Linked DNA regions of Drosophila melanogaster. The protein of the gene in region 2 interacts with the protein of the main gene of each other region in a pairwise test. Each region holds a gene or a part of one and is shown on either strand. Other genes may lie near its edges. The genes, in order: Bin1, Trl, Taf3 and lolal.

What was found.
Region 1: the proteins of Trl (region 2) and Bin1 interact in binary tests that used the Drosophila melanogaster proteins (3 or more experiments, as listed by UniProt).
Region 3: the proteins of Trl (region 2) and Taf3 interact in a two-hybrid assay, tested with the Drosophila melanogaster proteins (2 studies listed by BioGRID).
Region 4: the proteins of Trl (region 2) and lolal interact in binary tests that used the Drosophila melanogaster proteins (3 or more experiments, as listed by UniProt).

The regions. Positions count from the first base shown.
Region 1 is NT_033777.3:16,185,642-16,191,510, forward strand, and holds Bin1 (bicoid interacting protein 1), read right to left. Parts: upstream 3,924-5,869; 5' UTR 3,562-3,923; exon of another isoform or gene 1,466-3,561; 5' UTR 1,137-1,465; coding exon 1,071-1,136; intron 998-1,070; coding exon 611-997; 3' UTR 515-610; downstream 1-514. Other genes in the region: CG8927 (uncharacterized protein), read left to right, coding at 1-185, 248-473. UniProt on the Drosophila melanogaster protein: Involved in the tethering of the SIN3 complex to core histone proteins. Interacts with bicoid (bcd) to repress transcription of bicoid target genes in the anterior tip of the embryo; a process known as retraction.
Region 2 is NT_037436.4:14,754,946-14,759,697, reverse strand, and holds the start of Trl (Trithorax-like), read left to right. Parts: upstream 1-1,735; 5' UTR 1,736-1,856; exon of another isoform or gene 1,857-2,214; intron 2,215-2,361; exon of another isoform or gene 2,362-2,367; 5' UTR 2,368-2,602; coding exon 2,603-2,794; intron 2,795-4,752. UniProt on the Drosophila melanogaster protein: Transcriptional activator that functions by regulating chromatin structure. Overcomes the repressive effects of chromatin by promoting the open chromatin conformation in promoter gene regions, thereby allowing access to other transcription factors.
Region 3 is NC_004353.4:460,797-468,403, forward strand, and holds the start of Taf3 (TBP-associated factor 3), read right to left. Parts: upstream 6,033-7,607; 5' UTR 5,874-6,032; coding exon 5,705-5,873; intron 4,520-5,704; coding exon 4,001-4,519; intron 3,945-4,000; coding exon 2,259-3,944; intron 1,706-2,258; coding exon 1,592-1,705; intron 1,533-1,591; coding exon 709-1,532; intron 618-708; exon of another isoform or gene 252-617; coding exon 1-251. Other genes in the region: CG33941 (uncharacterized protein), read left to right, coding at 7,055-7,198.
Region 4 is NT_033778.4:18,153,582-18,159,653, forward strand, and holds lolal (lola like), read right to left. Parts: upstream 4,438-6,072; 5' UTR 4,361-4,437; exon of another isoform or gene 4,179-4,360; intron 3,312-4,178; exon of another isoform or gene 3,166-3,311; intron 2,799-3,165; exon of another isoform or gene 2,585-2,798; 5' UTR 2,413-2,584; coding exon 2,311-2,412; intron 1,911-2,310; coding exon 1,824-1,910; intron 1,762-1,823; coding exon 1,567-1,761; 3' UTR 514-1,566; downstream 1-513. Other genes in the region: adp (adipose), read left to right, coding at 1-265; CG10914 (uncharacterized protein), read left to right, coding at 4,715-6,072. UniProt on the Drosophila melanogaster protein: Required, together with Trl, for maintaining the repressed state of target genes including homeotic genes Scr and Ubx. May also be involved in the activation of homeotic genes. Binds to a DNA Polycomb response element (PRE) at the bithorax complex.

The DNA.
Region 1 (5,869 bases), on a different chromosome or scaffold from region 2:
ATCATTGATCAAAATCAGCTACAGGACGATCACGTTGACCAGCAGCAGCAGCGTCGCCGTCAGCCCGTTTCCCAGACCATTCGCAAGTGGCGTGAGGAAAACGAGGACGGAAGCATCACATGGGGCTATGAGAACGACGACGGATCTTTCAAGGAGGAGCTGATCGGCACCGATTGCATCACCAAGTGAGTAAAACAGATTGAATCCAACCTCTTTCTCCCACTTACCCAAACTTCTCGTTCACCAGGGGAACCTATGGCTACGTTGATCCAGATGGCAACAAACGTGAGTACCACTATGAGACTGGAATCAAGTGCGATCCTAACAACCGCAACAACGAGGAAGAGCTACAAGAGAACGGGTTCGTCAACTACGAAGAGAATCGCGCCGTGCTGCCCAATGGTCTGGAGATCGACATGACGCAGTTGGGCAAGAAGAAGTCGAAGCGCCCGAACGGCTTTTACAGGAACTGATACTCCCCACAACATATAGTCCCTTAAGTCAAGCAGCTCGTAGTTCGTCTTACTTGTATTCCACTTATAATTATGTTCATACTCCATTGAGTGTCAAGTGAAAGATTAAAATGATTAGAATAGATGAAAGTGAAGAATCAGTACGGACGCTGGCGCCTGGCGGTTGGCGGCAGTCGGTTGGGCGGAGTAATCGAGATGTCCAGAAAGTCTCCAATGCTGAATTTGGCCTGAGCAAGTGTCTTATTATCATCGATTCCTTTTTGACCCGTGCAGGTCACTCCGATTTCGCGCATCTGGAAGTGATTACTCCGGAAGTTGGGGTACACGACAGCAAAGTCAAAGTAGGTGCCCTTCTTCCGGGTGTCCGGATTGACGTCTCGCACCAGAGAGGTCAGTTCGTGCAGGGTGGCGTCTTGCCAGGTGTAAATCTGAAGCTCGTTGGTGGGCACGTTGCCGAACATATACTCCGACACGGAGTGGTGTCGTCCCGTAGAGCAGAAGACACGGAGCAGCATAGGACAGGTCTGGAAAATACATAAACTTATTAACACATCTAGAGCAAACGCGAAGTAAACATGACCGGGGTCACAAACAAACCTTCTCGCGGTCAATCTGCTTGACCTGCGTCTTTTCCTCCACAATCATAGATTCCACGTTGGCCATGTCTCCCTATTCTGCGGTATATCGTTACTAATTTTCTTAATTTTAATACAAAATGCACTTTTAATGCCGTATATTCCGGCTTCTCTTTGCTCTTTTCGATAACTATATAATCGAATGCAGCAATCCTATCGCACATCGCCGAGTGTGACCGCTTGTCGCATACTTATCGGGTTTTAGTTTAATCGATGTTTCCAGAAGCACCAAAATTCGCCGTTTCTCAGCTCTAGTCCGAAAACAAAATTCGCTGTGAGCGGTTGTGTCGTCGAACGTGAAACTACGCGTCTCCGCGAATGACGCAGACTGGAAGCTTCCACTGGCATGACAATCGTCTAAAAACATTCAACAATAGCGGTGCACTTGCAAATTACTGTTGCCGCAACAACAATAACAACTGCTTCGCTAAGCAGTAGCTGCGACCACAACAACAAGGAGGAGAGCAACAACAACGGTGGAGAAGAGCCGTTTGTTATTGGCGCATAAAAGCAGAATCGCAATTTGGCCACTGAATAGTTTCTAAAAACGGTGAGTACATTGTGGCAGCGGTCCATTTGCATACCGAATTGAGATTTGCACTTTTTGCAAGAGTTTCTTATGTAACGGCAACAGCAGCAGCAGCAGCAGCTGAGTTTTACGTGCAAATTGTTGCCGTTGCTTTGCTTGTGTTGGTGCCGCAGCGTCTGCGAAAAGTCACCCTCTTTGCAACCACCCTTCACCCCCCCTCATATTTCATTTATGCATCGCTCTCTCGCTCGATTTGTTTATAAACATTCAGGAATAAGCCGCTGCTAAATACTGAACTGTTTTTATCTCAAGAAGTACAAGGTTATCCCATCCCCAGCCACCCACTTTCGATCTCCTCATTTTTATGCATGCGCCATCATTTGCCGATAATAGTGCCATTCTGTTTGTTGTTCTAAATGTTCTAGTTATTGCAGTAGCGTGGAAGGTGTGGTCATATGGTGGTTTCTATTGTGTCAACAAGGAATCAGTTTCCCAAAAGCTGCATATTTGTTTTTATTTTTAGTCAAATACCAAGAAATAAGTCAATCCAGACATTTGATATTTTTAGAAACGGAATAAACCCCGTTTAAGTGCACAGAAACAGAATCTGTGATTACCCTGGTAAAAGAAAAACACTAGAAGGGGAAAATACCCCACTTGAATTAACCCCCTGCTAAAGGGTATTTTCGCTTCGGCGTGTCTGAATATTTTTAGTTGGCTCGTGTTTTAAAGTCCTCGAATCCACTCCCACCTCGTTGATCCTGCAGCAGCTGTTTTTGCCACAGTTCCTGCTGCTCTTGCGTGGGAGCAGAATGTTTGTTGTTCCTGCTGTTGTTATTGAATCCCCCCTCCCCCCCCTTCGTCCTTGGCCATTGTTCTGTGGACTCGTTTTGGCCGGAGCGGAGGGGTTGCAGCCGTGACCGTGACTGACTGCCCGTAACCCCAGCAACGACCACATAGTGGACGATGTTATTGTTATCGCATACTTTGGTAACCAGTGCACTGTGGTCGGGATGACCAATATGAAGTAAGACGCATTAAAGCTGTTTCTTTAGTCACTTTAAAAAATGAAAAATTTATAAAGATAATACTCAGCAATACTTCTGCGACAAATTCACATTCGTAAATTATTCAAATTTGACAAAACAACGGAATGTTTAAAAACTTTATAGTCTTTTTAAGTTAGAATAAGTCTTAAGTTCTAGAAAGACCCCACGAAGTTGAAGAAAATGTACTTTAAGTGAAGTAAGTCTTCAGTGGCTTCAGTGGAATCGTATGTACTCGAATCGGAAGGTGGGTAAAGATGTGAACAATAAAGTAATATGTTTTTCGAAATTAAATTCCGCCCACTGTCCGTGTTCGTTGCTGCGGCTGCTGGCTGAATTTTAAACGTGCCAAGTCCTTGGTTGTAAACTGAAGACGTGCGGTGTGGGGCGATTTGTTGCCACTGTTGCGGTCGCTTTGTTGCTGCCGCCTTACTTCGTTTTCGTTATTTTTTCTCAAATATTAATTGCTTTGAGCAACAGTAGAAGCCCTTGGCTACTGCTCCAAACCCAATCACTTCGAATTTCCGAAAATTCCCCAAGCAGCAGCACAACGAGTTTGGAAAAGTGGCAAGGCGAAGCAGACGTAACCGAAAGCAATAAATTCACAAATGCAAATAAAATGCGAGCTTTGCTTCAACTCCTGTTCTGTATACATATGTATTTGATTCTATTTTTTACCCGGCCAGTTGACAGGGGCGTGTGCGTGGGCGTTTCTACTGCCAGCCGCACAACACAATGTCCTGGGTGTAAGTCTCGACCTTGGCTTTGCATAGCGACCTTTCGCCAATGCCACAATATATCCCCATTCCTACCCATATCCCTATTCCCCGAATGCCCAGTGGTGCCCACTTGTTTGTAGCGAGGACAGATTTACTTGCCATTTCCAATCCGGGGAATCCATTTCGCAGCCAGCTGTTCAGACTTTCAGATAAAGTGCACGCTTAAGAGAATCATGACAAATTAATGCTTGTGAATGAAGTGGCAAATCATCGTTTCATGGCCAAAAAGGTCGTATTCGAAGAAGATCTAGAATTAGATATTGGAAAGAACCTGCAGCAGATGGCTCATATTAGAAATATCTAAGAAATGTGGCTGGTTATTAACGTATAATTCCATTAGGGTCTTGAGCACTATTGTATATGTCGGCGAAACAGGAGTCTCATCCATATTATTTATTCACTTCGCGATTTTGTACGTCAGCGCAGCAAGTTCCGATCGACGTCAGCAGTCAAACTTCACTGAAGGGATCTTCTTACATGTCCCTTCTTCATCATATTCTCTAATGGCTATACACACTGGCGTGTGCCACATTGTCATCTCTCTCTAACACACTATTTATGACCACTCGATCGGACCTCACTCAGCTGCAGAGGCTGTTCGTGCCTCTGCCGCAGCGCTCGACAGAATTTTACCGCAATATTACAATTTCATCAGAATATGAAATCACAGAAGGAATTTCTGGAATGCGAAGAGTCGCGCTCCGACATATACAATCATGCTGATAATAACATTGATTTTATTGCACATTTAATTGCCTTACATTGTATTACACTTTCTAGCAGTATTCAAGATTATCTCCTATTATTTATAGCAATTTGTTAGTTGTTACTCATGCATAATGGCGACTTAATATTATATTTTAAAATTGTTTTTTTCTTATGTTAATCTGGATTACCACCCCACTTCGTGATTAATTCTGAGCGGAGAACAAAAACACTCTGATAAATTAAGTTGTAAACAACTACTTTCGAAAAGCAATTAAAAAATTTATTTACAGTATTTCACGATAAGGCGAATAACAAAACCATTAACTTGTTAATGTGCCGGTACAAACTATTTCCTCTAAAATGTTATCAGTTATCTGATTACGGGTTGATGTGATTGATTCCAAATATAAGTTGTTAAAGATTGAGTTATTTTAAGAATACCCGCTGATAACATTTCCTTTTGTGAAATTTATTGAACGGTCGTTCAATAAAGAATTGCCGAGAGCATTCTGATTACCATTCTGCTGCAAAAAACACTCGAAAACAACCCGTCTTTAAGAGACTGCAAAAGGCCAAGGAAAGATCACTCGTCTGTGCCTTTGATTGCGAACGACCACTGAATCGATGGGAGAAAGATATGGGAGTGCGTATATGTGGCCAGAAAATTATGTATACGCAGCGTTTCCTCATTGAGAGGCGCTGCTGACGCAAAATAAATGAAACGATTTTAAAATAAAAGCAACTCATAATTTTTGCCCCTACGATTGGTGCCTGTGTTGTCGCGTCTGTTGTCCATTTTATGCTATTTCTGTTTGCGTTCGCTTTTGTTTTGTTTTCCATCTTCTTGCCTTTTTGCCAGGGTTTTGCCAATTGATGAATTGAATACGTACAGACCGCTGCCGTCGGCTCTTTCGTCAATTGGCTTGACTGGATCTAGCTGCAGTTTGCACTGACGTCACGTCCCAAAAGCAAAAGTGCCCCTAACTCACTTAACACATCGGCCTGATTGGCAGCGACGTCGATTCCATTCGACTGTATATGCGCGCATACGTATGTTCTGCTTGACTTGAGGTATACTTGAGTTGTAAATGTCTCAATTAACCATAGTAACAATAGCCAAATGTTATCTATGGAGTCTAAATACGTCCATTTGGTGCGTCAGTGGGGACTGTCGTCGCGATAAGAAGCGAATCGAGGGAACTACCGTGGCCATGATTTACGATAACCAGCGGGTTTCAACCGGTTGAACTCAACATTGAACTGCTGATAACACTTGCTTAAAAGCGATTTATTGGAATATTTGCTGAACAGGATTTTAATTCCTTCCTTGCTTGGAAGCAAGAACCACTGTAAACTTTTGGTAATCTCTTCATCCTACCCAAATCACCGAATTTCGGCAGCACATGTCGGCGATGGCGGCTCCTAATAGAAATCGCTTTTGCATAGCCAAGTTGGCCCAAACTATTTTCATGTCAAAGCGCTGACAAGACGGGCGCACACAGAAACCTACAGATACACAGATACATTTGCACTTGGAGCCGCACAGTTGCGAGTGACAGTCGACAACAAAGGGGCTGGTCGAATCAGTTTGAGTCTGAGGCAAGTGAAAACTCCTCGGAATCGCCCAAGGACTTTGAGTGATAACAATCCAATTTGTAAAAGTAGTGGGCGGGGATGGATGAGCTGTTATGGTATGTGT
Region 2 (4,752 bases):
CCAGGCAAAAGTCGTGCCGCGCCGTTCGAATTTCAAACAGTCGAGCTGGCGCACGGTGGGACAAAAGCGTTGTTTAAAAGTTTTAATGTTTTAAAGTTTCATACATTTTAATAAAATACAAAAATTTAATTTGAAAATCTTTAACTAACGTACGGCCAAACGCACTATAAAAACTAGCCAATGGAAAAAATAGTCCAGTAACGCTTATACAATTTGTTTACAAAAACCAGTTATACAATGTATTCCAAAATTTTACATAGTAATTCTATTCCTACCACTTATGTTTTGTATCCCACTGTGCTTGGTTTGCACTCATTCCTCCACCTCTGCCGAGTCACCCACCACCAACACCCCCCAGCGCGCACGCTCTCCCTCATTCTCACATCATGCTCCGTTGGTTGGTATTGCCAGCTACGAAACATGAAACATGCTCACTGCTTTAACGCCGATTGGAACTTTAAAGGGGCATTTCGAACGGCATTTCTCATGGCCCCTTCCCTGCCCAGCAGCATCATAACAGAGAAAATTGTAATCTTAAAAATTTGGACACTCGCTCACTTTATATTACTTTCTTCTCTGAGCGTTGGCTAGAAGTGCCACTCTCCTTCTCCTTCAATTCCAAATTCGACTAACTTCCCTATCGCGGGGTCTCTCCGCTCTTAAGCTGGACTTGATCTGCATACGAGAATGAGACTGGCTATATGTTTTTACCCCGTAGGGTCTCGGTCTCTGAGATGTGTCAAAAGTAACAGGTGATTGGATTGGATTCGAAAGGAGAGAGGAGAGTTAGAGACAGGGGAAAGAGAATGTAGAGCGTAAGAGCGAACCGGCTTTTCTACCATTTGTTATTATTACTTTCACAGGATCTGTTAATATTTCGGAACCGAAGAGAAACCCAGTCCCGATACATGTCTATTTTAATCTAAACCTATCAGATTCTTTTGATTCCTGTGTAACCCTCAGTAGCATTACACTTGTTCCCAGAAAAATGGAATCTGGTATCTTAAAAAGAAAACTGAAAGTAATTTATTCTGAACCCAATACCCTTCTAGATTTTGGTGATCAAACATAATAAATTGTTAGATTAGGGACTCGTTCTACGAAAATCTGCTTATCGATTTAATCATAGCTAATGTTGGAATTTATTTTTAATACAATTGCTCGATACCTTAGCTAGAATAATTCAAAAACGTTCTGAATTGTTTATCCTTCATTTTTAAACTGTAAAATTTGAGCTTATTCAGAGTGGAGTAGTATAAGAAAATGTTGAATATTTTGATACCGGATCCGATAGTTATAGAACCGGAACCTACGGATCCCGTTGACCTTTTTCTTATCGCACTCTGATATTCCAACCGGTCGGACACATGTGTTTTTCATCCGTGAAGTCGGCCCAGAATATTTCCATCATTCAATATTTACCACCTTTTATAGTTTTGTTTACTATCTTGCCGACTTTTTTGTCTTGCCGTCTTGCTCTCCTCTCCATCCTAAAAATACTCTTCCTGCGCTCCATCTGGCAATGCCGCTCGACAACTGTACTTCAAAGAGCGTTGCCAGGCAGGTCACTTCTCTCATAGATACACAGATACAGGCGCGCACGCACACCAGCACGCAAAATAACCACCACCAGCAGTACAGAAATTACACATTTTCTCCCCGAGTAGAGAACTGAAAAACTGGCCGCGCTGGCAGCGCCGGAGCAGCGAAATTCGATCGAAACCATTTACTCAGTCTCAGTTCGAGTTATCCAACGTTGGCGAGCGGACAAACAAGCAGGAGAAAAAAGCGTACGGGCAAGAGAAAGAGAAGGCACAAAATCACCCACAGCCACTGAAATTTTCTTTTGCGCTCCGGTGAGAAGATAATTTCACAAACCAAAACCGAACCAACAAACAAAAAAAGTGCGCTCCGTGAGCGGGAAAACAATAACAAAATCAAGAGACATGCGATTATAAAACGAACAAAATAACTGAGTGACAAAAAAAAATTAAATGCGTGTCTCATGGCTTGACTGTACTGTGTATTAAAAAATGTGATTGTGTCGGCTGTCCGTCTGTCTGAGTTTGTGCGCGTGTGTGTGCTGTTGGCGTTTTTAAATGTGGCGCGCTATTTTTGTGTGATTTTTGTGGGCAGCAACGAATTTTGAAACATCAATTGTATACTAGTTGTCAGTCCCCTTGTGAAAAAGTCTTCTCCAACAACAAAATTCCTGTGAGCAGCCTACACACATGCGTTGTCTCGCTCTCGCGCGCTCTGGCCCCCAAAGAGTGCGAGAGCGGGAGAGTGAGACCGAGAAAGAGAGAGAGAGAGAGAGAGCTAATAACTAACGTCTGTACTCTTTTTCTTTTCCATTTTTCATTTCAGTTTCGAGAAAGCAGCGCGCCAAGCAGCAAGAAGAGGAAGAGCAAAGGGAGTTGGAAAAGCAGTGGCGTCGTGGAGGAGGAGTAGAAAGGGGATTTTTGCGAAAAATCCCAACTTGAAGAGAATTTTCCCCGTAACCGTTAAACATTAAATCGTCGTGTTGGAGACAAATAGCAGCGAATACGCTAGCAACGCTGGGGAGGAACAACAATTGTTGGATTTGGACGCGACCGCTTTGATGTCGCTGCCAATGAATTCGCTGTATTCGCTCACCTGGGGCGATTACGGCACCAGCCTCGTATCGGCAATCCAATTGTTGCGCTGCCATGGCGACCTCGTCGATTGCACGTTGGCCGCCGGCGGGCGGAGTTTTCCCGCCCACAAGATAGTCCTGTGCGCCGCCTCCCCCTTTCTGCTGGACTTGCTAAAGGTAAGTGCTCGGTTCGGAAACACTGCCTAAAACACCTTTCAATAAGAGAGCTTGTACATAACCTCAAACGTTTCGTACAGTTTGTAAACAGAGAAATCCAATCGCAGAAATAGGTTAATGTTTGGAGCGCAGAGAAACTGACACTCGCACGCAAATGCATACATATGTATAAATAACGCAGATTTACGCTCCGCTCCAAAAGTTGTCTAGAGATTTTTGTACAAGTTTTCCACTGTCAATTGAGTTGAATGAGTGGCTCCGCCCCCCGCATTCCCGCCGTCTATCTTGCTTATCAGCTTTTTCTTGTTGCAAAGTTCACCGGAGAACGAGAGAGTGAGACGTAGAGACAGAGCGCAGACAGAGAGGGAGAGAGCGAGAGAACCAGTTGGTTCGGTCGACAGAAAAGTGGTTTTGGGCCCGGTGGTGTAACAGAGAGGGGAGAGCCGAAAGCTGGTGCGCCAACTTTTAAATCGCATGTGTTAGAGCGAGCGCAAACGAGAGCGCCAAAAGCAGCGCGGCAACTGTTGTAGTTGTTGGATGGTTGGAGCTTTCGTCTTGCCTTTTGGTTCTTGCTGTTGTTGGGTGCACACGAGCGCGACCTCTTTCTTCACAGACAGAACTGTACAGTTGGCTCTGGCTAGGGGGAACTTGAAATATTGGGGGGAATATGGATACATATACAAAGATAATTAAAATTAAATTTGTATTGATTGGTTTGATTTCCTTAACCCATTTCCTAAGCTAAGTCTTTTGTATTTTGTATGTCACCATTTTAGATTGCTAGATTGATTGTCTAACAGCAAACTTCGCTCAATTAAAAGTTCCTGGACTTTAATAGACTTATCTACTTCAAATCTTTATTTAAACTTATAACATAGTGACCAAGTCCAGATTGTACCAAAGATAAGCAAGCCTGTCTGGTGCGCTTCCCTCGTATCGAATCCAACCCGTATTTCTATAAACTAAAGCATTTCATATTAGGAAGGCGCACTTTTAAATGGAGCTTGCAAGTTTTTTCATGAGCTGTATTGCGATACTGTACTTTTTAACAACTCATTTGCACTTTAACTTTGACGCTTTTCCGCCACTCTGTCGATTGTTCAAAGTGTGCGCTTAAGTATGAAAGTTGGACCGTCTTCAATGCGTGGCCCTATCGTAATGGAAATACTGACCAAAACAGAGCGCGGCCAGCGAAATGAAAACACCTGATGCGACGCCGACAGCGGCTACTCTGCGCTTCGCTCCCCCTTATTCTCAGCGCTCCTCATCTCTCCTCTCCTTTTCTGGGCCGTGAAAAAGTAAACAGAGCGAAATTTTTGAAAACGCCGCTCAGAGCCGTCGTGGGGAAATGTCAAAGAAAAAAAAAAAAAAACAAAAAGAACGGGACCAATGCGGCTGTGAACTCTGCAAGAGTCCGAAAAGTACAAGATGTACTGATCTCGTTACACTCACACACGCACGCAAAAACACATGGCGGTCGCTCTTTGTTGCTCTTGCTCCCTCTCCCTTGCTCCTACGGCAAATGGAATGCAACTCTGAAAAATCGATGAGCGAGACTTTGGTTGGAGGCAGAGTTCAAAGAGCGCAAATGGGAGTGCGGTGAGATGTGTCATTTCAAGAGATTGGCATTGGATGAAGGGAGGGTGTTGGTTGGTGAGTCCGTAAATGGAGAGGGGTTGTTTTCTGAGCAATGCTATATAATTAAATGTTTGGAGCGGGAGCGGGAGCGGGAGAGGACACAGAAGAAGAACAGCTAAGCGCTCTTTCTTTAAGCGCTGCTCTGTTTTCTTTTTCAGCATCTGAAATCTCAAAATCCTGCTGCAGAATGTGCAGAGCGCGCAAAAGTAAAAGCCGGTTGTCTTTTGTCTGTGTCACTGTGTGCGTGAGCGGAGGAGAGTGTGAGCGACGCGTCGCACCGCGAGTTTCCATTATTTCCATCTCCGTCCGACTGTTTTTGT
Region 3 (7,607 bases), on a different chromosome or scaffold from region 2:
TCTGAAGACAAAATCGTGGTTTGCTTTAGTTTCCCTGCATCTGTCATCTCCTTTTCTGAAGACGAAAATAATGTAGATTTTCCACTAAGTTTTAGTGTTAGTTTTGGTATTTGATTTGGAGATATTCCACTTGTGGCGGCACCTAACGATGGATTTATTGTCATGGAACTTGATTTCAATACAGGTTCATCGTTGTTAGCTAAAGGCACCTTGTCAAATTCTTCTGTGTCATCTGGTATATGGACTAAAATCTAAAATAAGAATTGATTAAACTATAAATTTAACTTTAAAAGATTTTGCTGAGATATGTGTATAGACTAAAATAAAATTTGTAAGAACTAAAAATATAACTTTAAAAGATTTGGCTGCTTTACATGTTTATGTAGGATTAAGATGTTTTTGTACCTATACCAAGCTGTAGGCTTCGATGTTATAATTAGTCACAACAGTCTATATAAGTATTAATACAAATTTGGAACATAATGTATAATGTATAATGCATAATGCATAATTTAATGTTATTATACGGAATATGTTCACAGAATTCATGATTTTAAAAATGTTTCCCACATAACTTGCTGTTTTCAAATGAGTTTGTGTACGTACTTATCGCAAAGGTTGCTTATCAGCTCCGGCGTATCTACATATCTGATCCAAATACCACAACACGAACACCTATTTTTTTATAAATAAAGAATTGACACAAACCTGCTTATCTTTATCCTTTTTCTTTTCTTTTTTTTGCCTTTTATCATTGGCCTTTATTTTCCGGTCGGATTTGAAAGATGGTAAGCCAATCTGATCCGCTTTCTTTGATTTGTCCTTTTTCTCTTTCTTTTTTTTATTTTTCCCTTCTTTAACCTTTTTTAGCTTTTTGTGATGTTTCCGCATTTTCGGTTCCAACGACGTTAATCCAGTTGGTGTTATTGTAATATCTTCGTAGTTAGAAAAGGTAGAAAAAATATTGTGCTCTTCTGAAATTTTGATTTGATTCGGTATGGTTCCACCTAAGCTACTGAATGGTACTATTTTGGAGGAATATTCCGAATCACTCACTCTCGACAGAGGAATAAGATCTGCTCCCCCAGCTAAACTGAATTTGTCACCTCCCATAAAATTAGGCAAGTTAAATTGTGGAAATGATGAATGTGAAGCTGGCGTGTGGGGTACGCTTTTTACATCGGGAAAACTCTGTTTAACAAGTTTTTTAAATTTTTTAAGTGGTTCGTTAGAGCTTAGAGACACAATATTCCTTAGATCCATTTTGGATTTTTCTTCACCATTAGATGCAGCTGACGTAAACGAGGAGGGATTTAGTTCTGCGAAGCTGGTTTTAACATAAGTTGGTGATGATATTGGGGTTTTTCTTTGAACCATCTGCCTGTTGTGCATTGATTCATCTGAATCATCTGAAACCTCTATTGGATCATCAGGATTTCCAGAAGCCTCCAAAAGCGGTTTCGTGTTTATTTTGCTTGTAGCCTGTGCAGATGGGTTTTCCAATATTGTGCTGGCACAAGATACGCTTTTACCTACAGATATAAGTAATAAGTTATTTTTAAATTACAAATATATTTACCGTTAAACTTACACTCGGCGAATTTCATTGAGTCAGGTACTAATGGAGCAACATTGCAGTAGTTTCGATCCATTTGCAAGTCAGTTTGCGTGGAAGATCGGCTCAGAAATTGATCAGAATCAGTAACTAAAAATTATTTTTTCTAATCATTATAAATATTTAAATATTTTGGTCGACAAATAATTCACATATTGTAGGTAGGTACGTATTGTCAATATAAAAAAAAAATTTGAGCTCCTCCAAATATCTAGTTTATGACAAACGCAAATATTTCATACTAACCCATCTAGAAGCTTCCCAATACCACTTCTTGAGTGTGTACCTATACCTATTTTCTACATTCAACGGTTCAATGATTAGTTTCAGATTAGTATTTTTGCTGTAATGAATTAAGATATTGCCGAGACTTTTATGTAAGCAATATATTCTTCGAGCTGTGATACTCGAACTGGTATGGTAAAGTAAAGTTTGGGTCAACAAACTTCAGCTGGGTTTATGTCTCTAGAATCTTTATGCTTAATCTCAACCTACTAGCTTTTTATAGTTCATGAGATCTCGACGTTCATACGGACGGACAGGACAGGATCAGATCCACTCGGCTATTGATCCTGGTCACGAAAATATATACTACGTATATATACTACGAGCAATGCGTATAAAAATAACTCATTTGACGTACCAGGAGAATCCTTAATTGGTGGACATCGAACAGTATCCGCAACTGATTCTTCTGGTCCAGGATAATCTATGAACGGCGAAATAGGTATTCTGTTACCGTGATTCCCGAAGCCAACTAAACCAGTGACTGCAGGAAAAAGCCCAGGTCCAGTAGGAATAAGACCAGGTCGTGGTGGAAATTGCAATAAAGGAAGCAACGGAACCATTCCTGTTTGAATTCCAGGGTAAATTGATGCATTTGACAAAGCATTGGATATAGTCACAAATTTATCTGAACATTGTACATCATTATTTTGTTTTGTGGGTCGAATAGAATTATGTAGTGTTGATGCCTTTTCAGGAGAACAGCTCTTGTCTAATTGCATTACATTTTCTGGTAATGATTTGTACTTTTTTCTGTCCTTTTTTTCTTTTGCATACAGGTTTGACAAAAAATTATTCGAGGGCTGTTCGGTATTACACAAGTTGAGAGGTTCTGTTGGCGGGGAGACGTTTAAAGAACTTTGGGTTATTATCATTGGAGATGATGATAGAGGCAGTGTAATAGCTTGGCTTGACTTTTTCCGTTCGACCTTATTAATTAAAGGTTGCGATACAACATTTGTTTGTTTTATTACATTTTTTCCTCCAGGTTTGCGACCTCGCTTTTTTGGCTTTGGCGAATCAATAATTGACATTTCAACGCCTGCTTTAGTTAAAGGTATAGTTCCATCGAATATATTGCAAGGGTTGATTTTCATACTCGGAACGTTTTTGTTTTCAGAATTTAGACCAAGTGAAGGTGTAGGAGTTATAGTAGTCCCCGATGGAAGACTAATTAATGCTGAAGGGGTCATTGTGCTTCCAAATACAGATACCCCGGTTCCAGGAGGTACTAAAGTCGCCCCAATATCTGGACGTGGAGTACGTGGCTTAGAAATTTTCTTAAAAATGTCCAATTTACTTCGTTCTGGTTCTGATCCACTTTTTTTTTCTGCCAATAGCACTTGCGTTTGTTGAATTACAGATGGCTGCACTGGATAAATTGAATTTCGAAAATTATTTTCAATCTGGCTTGTTACTGTTGGCGGCTGACTAGGGATATCAGCTTGTAAAGCATTTTCATTTGAGTTAGCTTTTATGGCAAGGCCGCTCGTAGTTTGAGAATTCTGCAAAAAGTGTTTTTCGTCGATGTCCAGTTGAAGATCATTTTGCTTAAGTTTGGACTGCTTCTTAAATATTTTTTCTAAATGTTTTTTATTTGGATCGAAGGATCCGCGGTTAAATTTTTTTTTTAACTTTTTCATGTTTTGTATTTGATTAATTGAGCTGTCTCTTTGGTTCTTTGAGGTTTGTTTATACATTTTTAAAGCTTTTCTCTGTGACTTTTCCTGAGCTTTTTCAAACGGATTAGTTAGAAGTTCGCTTTGACCGGGTTCGCATATTAAATCATGTTTCTGTTTTCTATTCTTCTTAGGTGTTGTAACAGTTAGCATCGTATGGTTGTTAGACGCATATATTATTGAAGACTCTGAATGTCCACTTGTCAATAATGCAGCATTTTGTTTGAAGATTTTAGTTTCTGAGGGAATGATTTTTCGTGGATTTACTGTTTTGTCTCTGTCAGAAAGCGCCAGTTGTGGAGATTTTTGTAACGAATTTACAATTATCGTCGGTGAAAAGGGTGCATCCAAACCTAAAAATTTTTCTATAAACACCGATACATGAAAATTTATTAAGCTGTGGTATAAGGATAGGTCGTACCAACTATATCCGGTATGATATCTTCGGGGAGCTTGCCTTCAATAGCTGGACTTATGAATCCCCCTGTTGTCATTACCACGCTGCTCATTTCGCGGACTGAGCTCCCAACGTCCAATTCAAAGGCATTCGACCGGAAATTTATCACAGTATTAGGAGAGATAGAATCAATGTGCTTGGCGCCTAACTTATCAGCTGCGTTTGTTGAACTATACTCTGCTTTTGAACAAAACTCTTGCTTTTCCGAAAATTCCTTTTGAACATCGGCTGGAATTTCACGAAGTTCGGGGTCCTGCATTGGTGGCAAGTATTCAAATATGTAGACAGGTCGCGTTAGAGTTTCAGCGCTTCCAGGCTTAAGGAAGTTCATGTTTACAGATTTTCCAATGGGAAACTGTGGTACATCCCGGATGAATCCAACAGGCTCGACATTACCTATGTAGTCCAATAGTTCTTGAACATTGATGCTGAGATTTTTTATACTTAAGCGTGCATCCTTAAGGTTCGGCTCTATCCGATTTGCTAAATTAGTAATATATATACTTGTCAATTAATATTTTTATAAATTTTATCCAAATAAACAAAGCATTTTTGATTTTTTGTTTGGTTTTAATAAGATTTTTTTGAACTCATATAAATAACGTTATTAAGTAACATACCAAGCAAAATTAAAAAGAAAATATAAGAGAACGCTTTAGTCGAGTTCCTCAACTATTTATTTTTATTTCTGTTCCGGTGGTTACAAGGAAGATATATCTTAATCTAAGATATATCTTAATCTAAAATATATCTTAATCTAAGATATATCTTAATCTAAGATATATATAAATCAAAGATTTATTGTTTTTTTTTTTTTGGTGTTTACAAGACAATTAATGAAATAATAATTTGCAAAAAATACAATCTACATGCCTATTGAGGTTTCATAATCCCCAATCGAGACCCCGGCAGTCCCACAATTCATCGCTCCTTAAAAACATCCCAAGATCATCGGTTTCGCCCACAGTACCAACTGCTTTGGCTGCACAGCCACAAGCAGGGAATCAGCAATAAATTATGGATCTTTTATTTCCAGCCGAATGCTAAGCTGACGCTCTAAGTCGCCGAGCACATAAGTTTCGTAAGAAACTTTAAATTTTTAATGCGCATCGGAACTAGAGAAATTATATACTGATGTAGGTGAAAGGGACTGGGCGAGGAAAAGGGAAATAACAATAAAAGAAAGAAATAAATTAAAAGATTACTTTTCTAAGAGGCACGCTTCCTTTTTCGCGGATAACTGGGACTAGATTTATGCGAGTAGCAGGCGCGAGCTTAATCAGGAAATTCCAATGGCAATGGATTCATTTTACACGCAACAACACGTACTACTCGCAGAAGCGATGTACATTTTTCGTAATACATTTCTGTACACATTATACTAATATATTTTACTTTAAGGTTAAACGGACAGGTTGACCGGTATTCTAACGCAACTGAAAGCAAAATGCCCTAACTCCAAACAAAATTGTTTTAATGATAAATAATGATTTATTAATGATAGTCTGATGGAACTGCAGGGATGATAAGTTATACATTTATGTACATGTACATATATGTCACATACTTTTTATTGAATCTCTTATTCTACAAGTAACGACTATAACTACTCAGGCTTTGTTGTATTTCATGATCGGTTCCGTTGATTTGAGGGTCTATACCACTTACCGTGTTCCATATGTCTATGCATGTCTCGAGCGAACTCCTGTACAAACTTCTGCAATATGTCTTGCAACAACTCCAAGGGTGCACTTAGAGTGCAGCTGTAACCAATAGTTTGCGTTATCTGCGCAACGACAACAAGGGCCAAATCTGAAGCGTATCTGTCTGCCATCATGTTCTTTCATGAGGTACACCTTCTTTAGAAAACCTTGGAAATGCTGTGAATAGGTTTAACCGTCCCACGAACTTCCTCTTGTTATTAAAATTAATTGACTTGGTGTCTACACCTTTATTAGACGAACTACAATCTGTGGATGTTTAGTTAACGATAACTTATCGATTTTGCCTTTGATGGGAAATATATCGATATTTGGGGTATGCCAAAAGTGGTAATCATGGGGTTCAATCAAATTCAATTGATTGACCAACATAAACAAACTGCAATTTTTTATGTGGTTTGAAAGTGGTTATAAGGGCAGATAAAAGGTTTGCTTTCGGTATGTTCGCTGTTAGTGTTCGAATAAGACACAAATTTTGAAAATAAGACGAAAAAGTTTTCTAATCCTTCTATTCTTTAAAATAGATATTGAACGATGGAAATATAATTAGAGCTTGTTTAATAATAGAGCGCTTGAATGCAGAGTGAAACGAGAGTCTTGTGTTGTTACCCGTAAAAATGTTTTAGTTTTACTACTACTATTACTATTATTACTACGATTACTTACTACAAATTTTAACAGCATCTAATGTTATGTTTATTGTGGAAAGAAAGTAATGCCCAGAACAGCTATGAAATTACCGAATAAATAATAATATAATTATAAATATAAATAATATATATAAATATAAATTTAATAAAATAACATTAAGCCTAAAATCGCTTCAAAAATATCATGTGAACTATATCCCAAACATGTGTATATATGCAGGTAATTTAGTGGAAAGAGGGTATAATGTATAATGACACAAAACTACTGATAGAATACTAGTTATATTTTCGATCAGTTTAGAAGAAACTTATATCTTAAGACATTTATTGGGTTAGGTATTGTTTCCCATATATGTTCTAGTCGAGTATTCACACAAAGAAGCGTGCGACAGATCTTCGGCACTTAATATTTTGTATTTGTAATAATGTAAAATATAAAAATTAACAAATAAAACAACTATATGAACATTTGCATGTGTTGGGTATATGTGTAAGTCTAATAAAAAGTTTTATTCTACTTAAAGCTCAAATCCTTTAAACTTTTCAGCTAGTTATTGAAATACTCAGTATAAATGAGTAAGAAGATCTCCATCAACATTGATCTGACCAACGTTTTACTCCTTTTTTAATCTAATAAGAACTAAAAAATGCAACCATTGAACTCGAGCATTGATAAAGCAAAACATTTTTTCATAGAGAGCGGGATCTTAGGACCCGTTAACTTTAAATATTCTCATGACATGATTCGGAAGACGTCTACCATTCACATTGACGAAACTCTTAAGAATCAGGTAAGGGTGGATAATCTGATTCCCAACGAATACACGTTTACACCTATGTTAACCATAATAGGTGTATAGGTATCGTATTTCCTTACATATACTGAAGATTTCATATGCAGTCGGTCAGTTATCGAGTAACTGGTTAGTCCGTCTGACTATCAATCTGAACGCTGTGATCTCGGGAACAATGAAAACTAGAATATTGATATTAAGCATTAAGACTCAGTCACAGAGTCTGTAAGAGTTTGTTTCATGCCGTTGCGACGCTTGCTCCAACGACGACGCACCCTCAATATTCATACGGTCACAAAAAATCAATCAACCACTAGCAAAAACACGAATACACTTCAGTGCGCAGATTTCTCATTTTGCGCATAATGTACGAGCTCAAAGAAGCTGGAGTCGAAAAAATGGAATT
Region 4 (6,072 bases), on a different chromosome or scaffold from region 2:
GGAGGGAGACACGGGCAAGATACGCGCCGTTTATCGGGCGGACAGTGCCATCGTGAATTGCGTGCAGCCGCATCCGAGCATCTGCATGCTGGCCACCAGTGGCATTGACCATAACATTAAGATCTGGTCGCCGTGCGCCGCCAGCGCCGAGGAGCGACCCAATCTCGTGGCGGATGTGACGCGTTTCGTTGAGGATAACCAGGAGAAGATGCGCCTCGATCCATTCGAACTGCACACGCGCAATGCGTACTGTTTCAATAATTAGGAACTGTGGCTTATTGTGCATCTTGATCTATATTGGCTGCATGCATGTGCAACAGCAAGCGAGATCCAATCGGCAATATATCAAATATTAGTGTAATTTAAGCTAAGCGAACATATTTTTGTTAATTTGTAAACGAATTACTCTGTATACAAAGTACGAAGCTTATGAAGGATGTTATGAAAGACTATTAAAATAAATGCAGACATGCAAATCGACCGGTTTTCGAATCGTAATTTAATGAAAAGCTCAGGATGATTTGCATTTGTTTTTTTTTTTTTTTTGTTTTAATTATTCTGTTTATTTACCGTAGTTTCTTTAAATCTATGCTCACATGTATACATATACATACATATAAATATTTTACTTTATGTAATAATATTCAAGTATAGTTTTTACTCAAGTTGTATTTTTCATTCTAACGTATTTCCTTACTCTTTTGTTTAAACTGTGTAGAACTGCTAGCTTCGCACTGAAACACCTTTTCTTCGTTTTGTTATTAATACAATATATGTATGTATCTCGCGTATGATCAGAAGTTGGGGAAAAACGCGCTTGTCCACACACAATTAATTGAAGTACAATTTTGCATTTGTTTCTATTTTATTGTTTAAATATAGATGAAAATGAGTTTGTCTGTCTGGAGGCGTGGCATGTCTGGGGTTGTAGTTAGTGGCTTAAAAACTAACCGAATGTGTTGTAATATTCGCGCCCGTCGTGGCTTTTTCCATCTACTTGCACATTTCACACTATATTTATAATTATCTTTATATATTTTAAATGGATCTTCTTTAATTACTTTACAAAAGTGCGTTTTTTGTTTTGTTTCGTTTCGTTATGTTTTGTTTTGCTTTAGGGGCTGCTGTCCATATCGTTTTATTTATACAGAGTGGTTTGTATTGTTAATAATATATTACAAACTATTTTATGCAGAAATTAAACAAAAAGAATTCAAATCGAGTTCTGTGGGGTTGTCGGTAAGTGTTGTTTTTTTTTTTTTTGCAATTTGGTTGATCAGATGTGAATGAGCGGGTGTGGGAGTGGGCGGGCGGATTTGGCCTCCACCTCTACTTTACAGGCTAATCATTTCAATCTGTCCAGCTTTAGCTTTGTGTGGTCATTTGTTGGCGTTCTTCATCCTCCTCGTGCACTCTTATATGAATTTGTATACCAAATGTCGTTCTCGTAATGTTGTTTCTTTTGCCGCTGGTTGGAATTTTGTTTTCTTGCGTACATATAAGTTTCTTATAGTTGGTTGTTGTTATTTATTATGTATTTTTTGTTTCGATTATTGTTTAATACCATCAACCTTCCCGCTTTATCGAACTGGGTGTCTCTGCGAGGCCTTTCACTTTGAGGCGATCGGCGGTCTTAAGAAATGCTGGCAATTGTTCCTGGGACACGTTCACCTCACCGGCGTACATGAACTCCAGTATAGCCTGTAGGTGAATGTAGGAGACATCTTTCAGGATAATGATCGGATGCTTCGATGGGTTCTCCTGCGGGTGCATACATTACATTATCAAACGATTGCTTAGTTATTACCGCGTGAAAAACTCACCTCCAGTAGCGCTTTAAAGTAGGGACTGCAAGCGGAAAGCACCATTTTGTGGGCTTTGCAGGTTTGGCCCTCGCAGGCGAGTGTTACCTGTGAACAATAAGCATTGGGAAATCAGTAAGATCCGCCAGGCATTTTCACCGCAACAAATTGAACAAAAACGCAGAGCGAAGAACGAACACAGGTAAAAGAAAAACGAATTGAAAATAGCGTGAGGGCCAGGTATCTGCTACTCAGACCAACTGAGCTCAGCCGGTGACTGACCCTCCACAAGGGGCGGCCGCGAGCCAATCGGGCCAAGAGTAGCATAATAAACCTCAGCGCGCCCCTGGGACTGGTTAACTACAGTCGAACTTCTATGGCTTGATTTTGACTGAATTTATAAGTAACTTCAAAATATATTGACATCTAATATCATCATTCTAACTAATAGTTCGACTGCAATAGTTTTTCCATCGCCGCTTCTGGAAAGTTTCATTTGGTTACTCACATCTGTGAAGCTCTTCTCGTCGCGCAGGTGACGGAACGAGGTCACCATATTCGTTTGAAAATCGTTCCATTTTAGAAAGAACTGTTGATCCGACGACATCATGAAGAAGCTTTTGTTTTGTGGGGGCGTCGCGCTCGCTGAACAGAATGCTGGGAGGGGGGTGGGCAGGAGGCTTAATTTGGACTAGTGACCGAAAGGTTCACCGTTAGATGGTCTTAATTCGCAGCGGACCGCTTAATCCGTGGGTTTTCGCTTGGGTTTTCTTTGACGCACTCTGCAAGAGAAGTAAACAGACAGCATTAGTGAACGAACGGTAACGGCAAGGCAGAGTAAGACAAACAAACAACAGCTTGGCGAAATTAGCAGTGAACGTTACGAGAGCATTGCAAAACAGCACGTCTCTTGGCCAAAAGTATTCTGCAAATATAAATGTGCTGCGGCGCATGTGCAGCGTTTGTGCAGTGGGAAATGGGAGTTCGGAATGCACAGCGTTGTTACTCTGTACATGTGTGAGTGAGCTGGAAAATGTCAAAGTGCTGAGACAGCGCTAAATAAAAACAGCAAACAGCTGCCAGCAAAGGTTAAGCAAAGAGGCAAAAATATCAAATCGTCGCTGGCTCGCTCTGTTGAATGCCTTTCACTTTTCAAGGCAATTTCTGCATTTTCAGTCGTACACACATGTGTACTTATTGCTTATTTGAATTCGTATGCGGCACAGTGGCTTAGAACGCGGAATTAGTCTGTTGCACGCGATGCACGCTGCAGCTGCCGATGGCAATGTATTTTTAGGCGCACTCCAGTTAAATAGCATTCATTCCGTGATTTTTGACCAAAAAAGAACCAAGATGGCGGCACCATTCGCACTTCCATTCAGTGACTTTGTCTTAATTTCACTCCCACTCCATCCCACTGTGCGGCCAACATGTGTTTTTCTTCTTGAGGAAATAGCGTTGTTGTTGATGCGACTCTCATATGCGCTACACTGGCAGCCGGCTGTATGTTTCTGCGTGGGCGGGGGAGAGCAGGGCATATAGTTTGCCGCCAGAGCTTAAACTTTAGTCTCACGCTCTCTGTGTCCCTCGTTCTCTTTCGCTAAGCGCTCTCAACTTTCAACTGCCGTTATGATTTCGCAATTACATTACAACAACAACAACTTAAAAGGCAGAGCAGACATCGCTGGAAATTCAGCTGCATAAGTGTAAGTGTGTGGCTGTGTGCGAGTGTGGGTAGGCGGCGGCAACTATCTCGCTTGCTCTTGCGCCCGGGGTTATCGGTAGCTTCTTCTAGGCTGAGTGCATTTCGTTGAATCATGGATGTTGAAAGTTGTCTAATTTCCGAACTATTGATTTTTCCCCTTCCCCGTCAAGAAACTGCATTGTTGCTTCTTGAAGACCAGTTTTGGTAACATCAGGAGAATGGAAAGGAGCGAGTGAGTCGGTGAGTAAGTGAGTGAGCGATGCGAGCGACAAAATCAACAACAACAACAACAACAACGGTTCAAAACGAGTTCCAACGAAAGTTGCAACACTCTCAACAATTTGAGCAGCTCCGTTTGTTGTTATTGCATTACTCAATCGGGAAGAACTCTACACTCGACGGAATAGTGTGCTCGTCTGAGATTTATTCTATTTCAATTCTTTTCTTTTGTTTTTGGTCAGACAATGGCGTCGGCAAACGTTCGTGGAAAGCCGCAGGAACCACCAAAATGCCTGGCGTCACATTAACCGAGCCGCCTTTGTTTATGCAAATATTATTGTAATATTTGGTTAAAATTAGGTCGCGCTTCGCGTTACTTTTTATTTCATATACACGCAGCAGCAGCACGCATACAGTCACGTCACGCACACATACAATCGCCGTTCACATACACTTGTCTTTTTTCCACACACTTTCCTAATCATTTTATTTGTTGTGCGCTGCTGCTTTTTACTCGGCGTGTACTCTGTACTTTTACCAATGCGTATATCGCCTGCCGACCGCCGCAGGAGCACGCTAATTGCGCCGTGGACACGCTTTTTCTATATCTTTTTGTTTCAATTTTAATACATACACGCTTTTTTTTTGTCCCGCACTTAACTCACCTCTGCTTTCTCGCTAACGCTGCTTTCTTTTTTCTCTTTCACCGATTTCGATTTTCGATACACTCGTGATTGTTCGATATGAATCGGCCTAATTTCGATGCGTTTTGTTTTTTTCCAGTTAATGAACACAAATTAATGTACTGAAATATCTTTTATTCGATTTATAACACAAAAAGCATTGCTTGAATTGATGCTTGTTATTTTGTACGCCAAATAATATAACAATCGTTCAGATCTATCGGCTAGCAGCCCTGACTATGTAAATGGTTTCGTAGCAAACGGCTTTAGTCTGACACTGTGAGAATTCTTGTGGGCATTGCAAAATGTTTAAAACCACACGTTTATATAAAATTATAAATAAAAATGTGGTTATCACATGTTCGAGGCGGCAGAATACCGCCGCTGAAGTGGGACAGAGCTTTCGGCAGAGGGCGTGGCTGCTCGCCAGAGAGCGGTACAAGGATCATGAGCACGTTCATTACAGCTCTGTTCTGGAGACCAAAATAAAACCCTCTTTCTCGATTCCTGAGACACAACAGCATTTGCCCGACGACTGGATGGACGACTACGAGTTCTATCAGGGCGCCCAGGAGGGAGGGAATAAGCAGGGCACACCGGATCCTTCGTTACCCGCCTCAAAGGTTCCATGCAACGGCTGCGGCGCAGACCTTCATTGCACGAATGCCTCCCTGCCAGGCTATATACCAAGTGAAATATTCAGGGATAGGACGCAGCAGGAACTGCAAACGATCACCTGCAAGCGTTGTCACTTTCTGAACCACTACAACATCGCATTGGATGTGGTGGTGGCCCCATCGACCTATGTGGACACCATATCCCGCATTCAAGACAAATTTGCACTGGCTATTGTTCTGGTGGACCTTCTCGATTTTCCCTGCTCCATTTGGCCGGGCATGCAAAACATATTGGGCGCAAAGCGACCCGTCTTCCTGGTGGGCAACAAGGTCGATCTGCTGCCGCGCGACTCCAACATCTATCTTCAGCATATTAAGGATTCTCTGCAGCGCGAGTTCATCAAGCATGGCGGTGGAAATGGTCTAAATATCAAGAATGTCAGTTTGATATCCGCCAAAACGGGCTATGGCATCGAGGAGCTAATAACGCAGCTGCACAAAACGTGGGCCTACAAAGGCGATGTCTATCTGGTGGGCTGCACCAATGTGGGCAAGAGCTCGCTGTTCAACATTCTGCTTAACTCGGACTACTGCCGGCCGGAGGCCAGTGACCTGGTGCGCAAGGCCACCACCTGTCCGTGGCCGGGCACCACACTCAAACTGCTGCGGTTTCCAATCTTGCGTCCATCGAACGATCGAGTCTATCAGCGCTTTAAGAGATTGGTTTCGGAGCGCAGCGAGAAGGCGGAAATGGAAAAGGAGCGTCGCGCAGTGGCAAGGGAAACGGGTTCAGCGGCAGCTGCTCAACCAGTGGCTCCGGTTGGACGCACCTTCGATCGACGCGAAAATCTCCATGATGCCTTTGCCATGGCCGGTGGCTCGCGACCGATTACAACGCTAAACGATCGGGGCAAGGAGTACAAGGAAGCGCGTTGGGTCTACGACACACCGGGTGTGATGCAACCCGACCAAATATCTCCCCTGCTCACCGCCGAGGAGCTGGTAAAGCTGCAGCCCGCCACCATGATCCGACCGCGCGCCTTTCG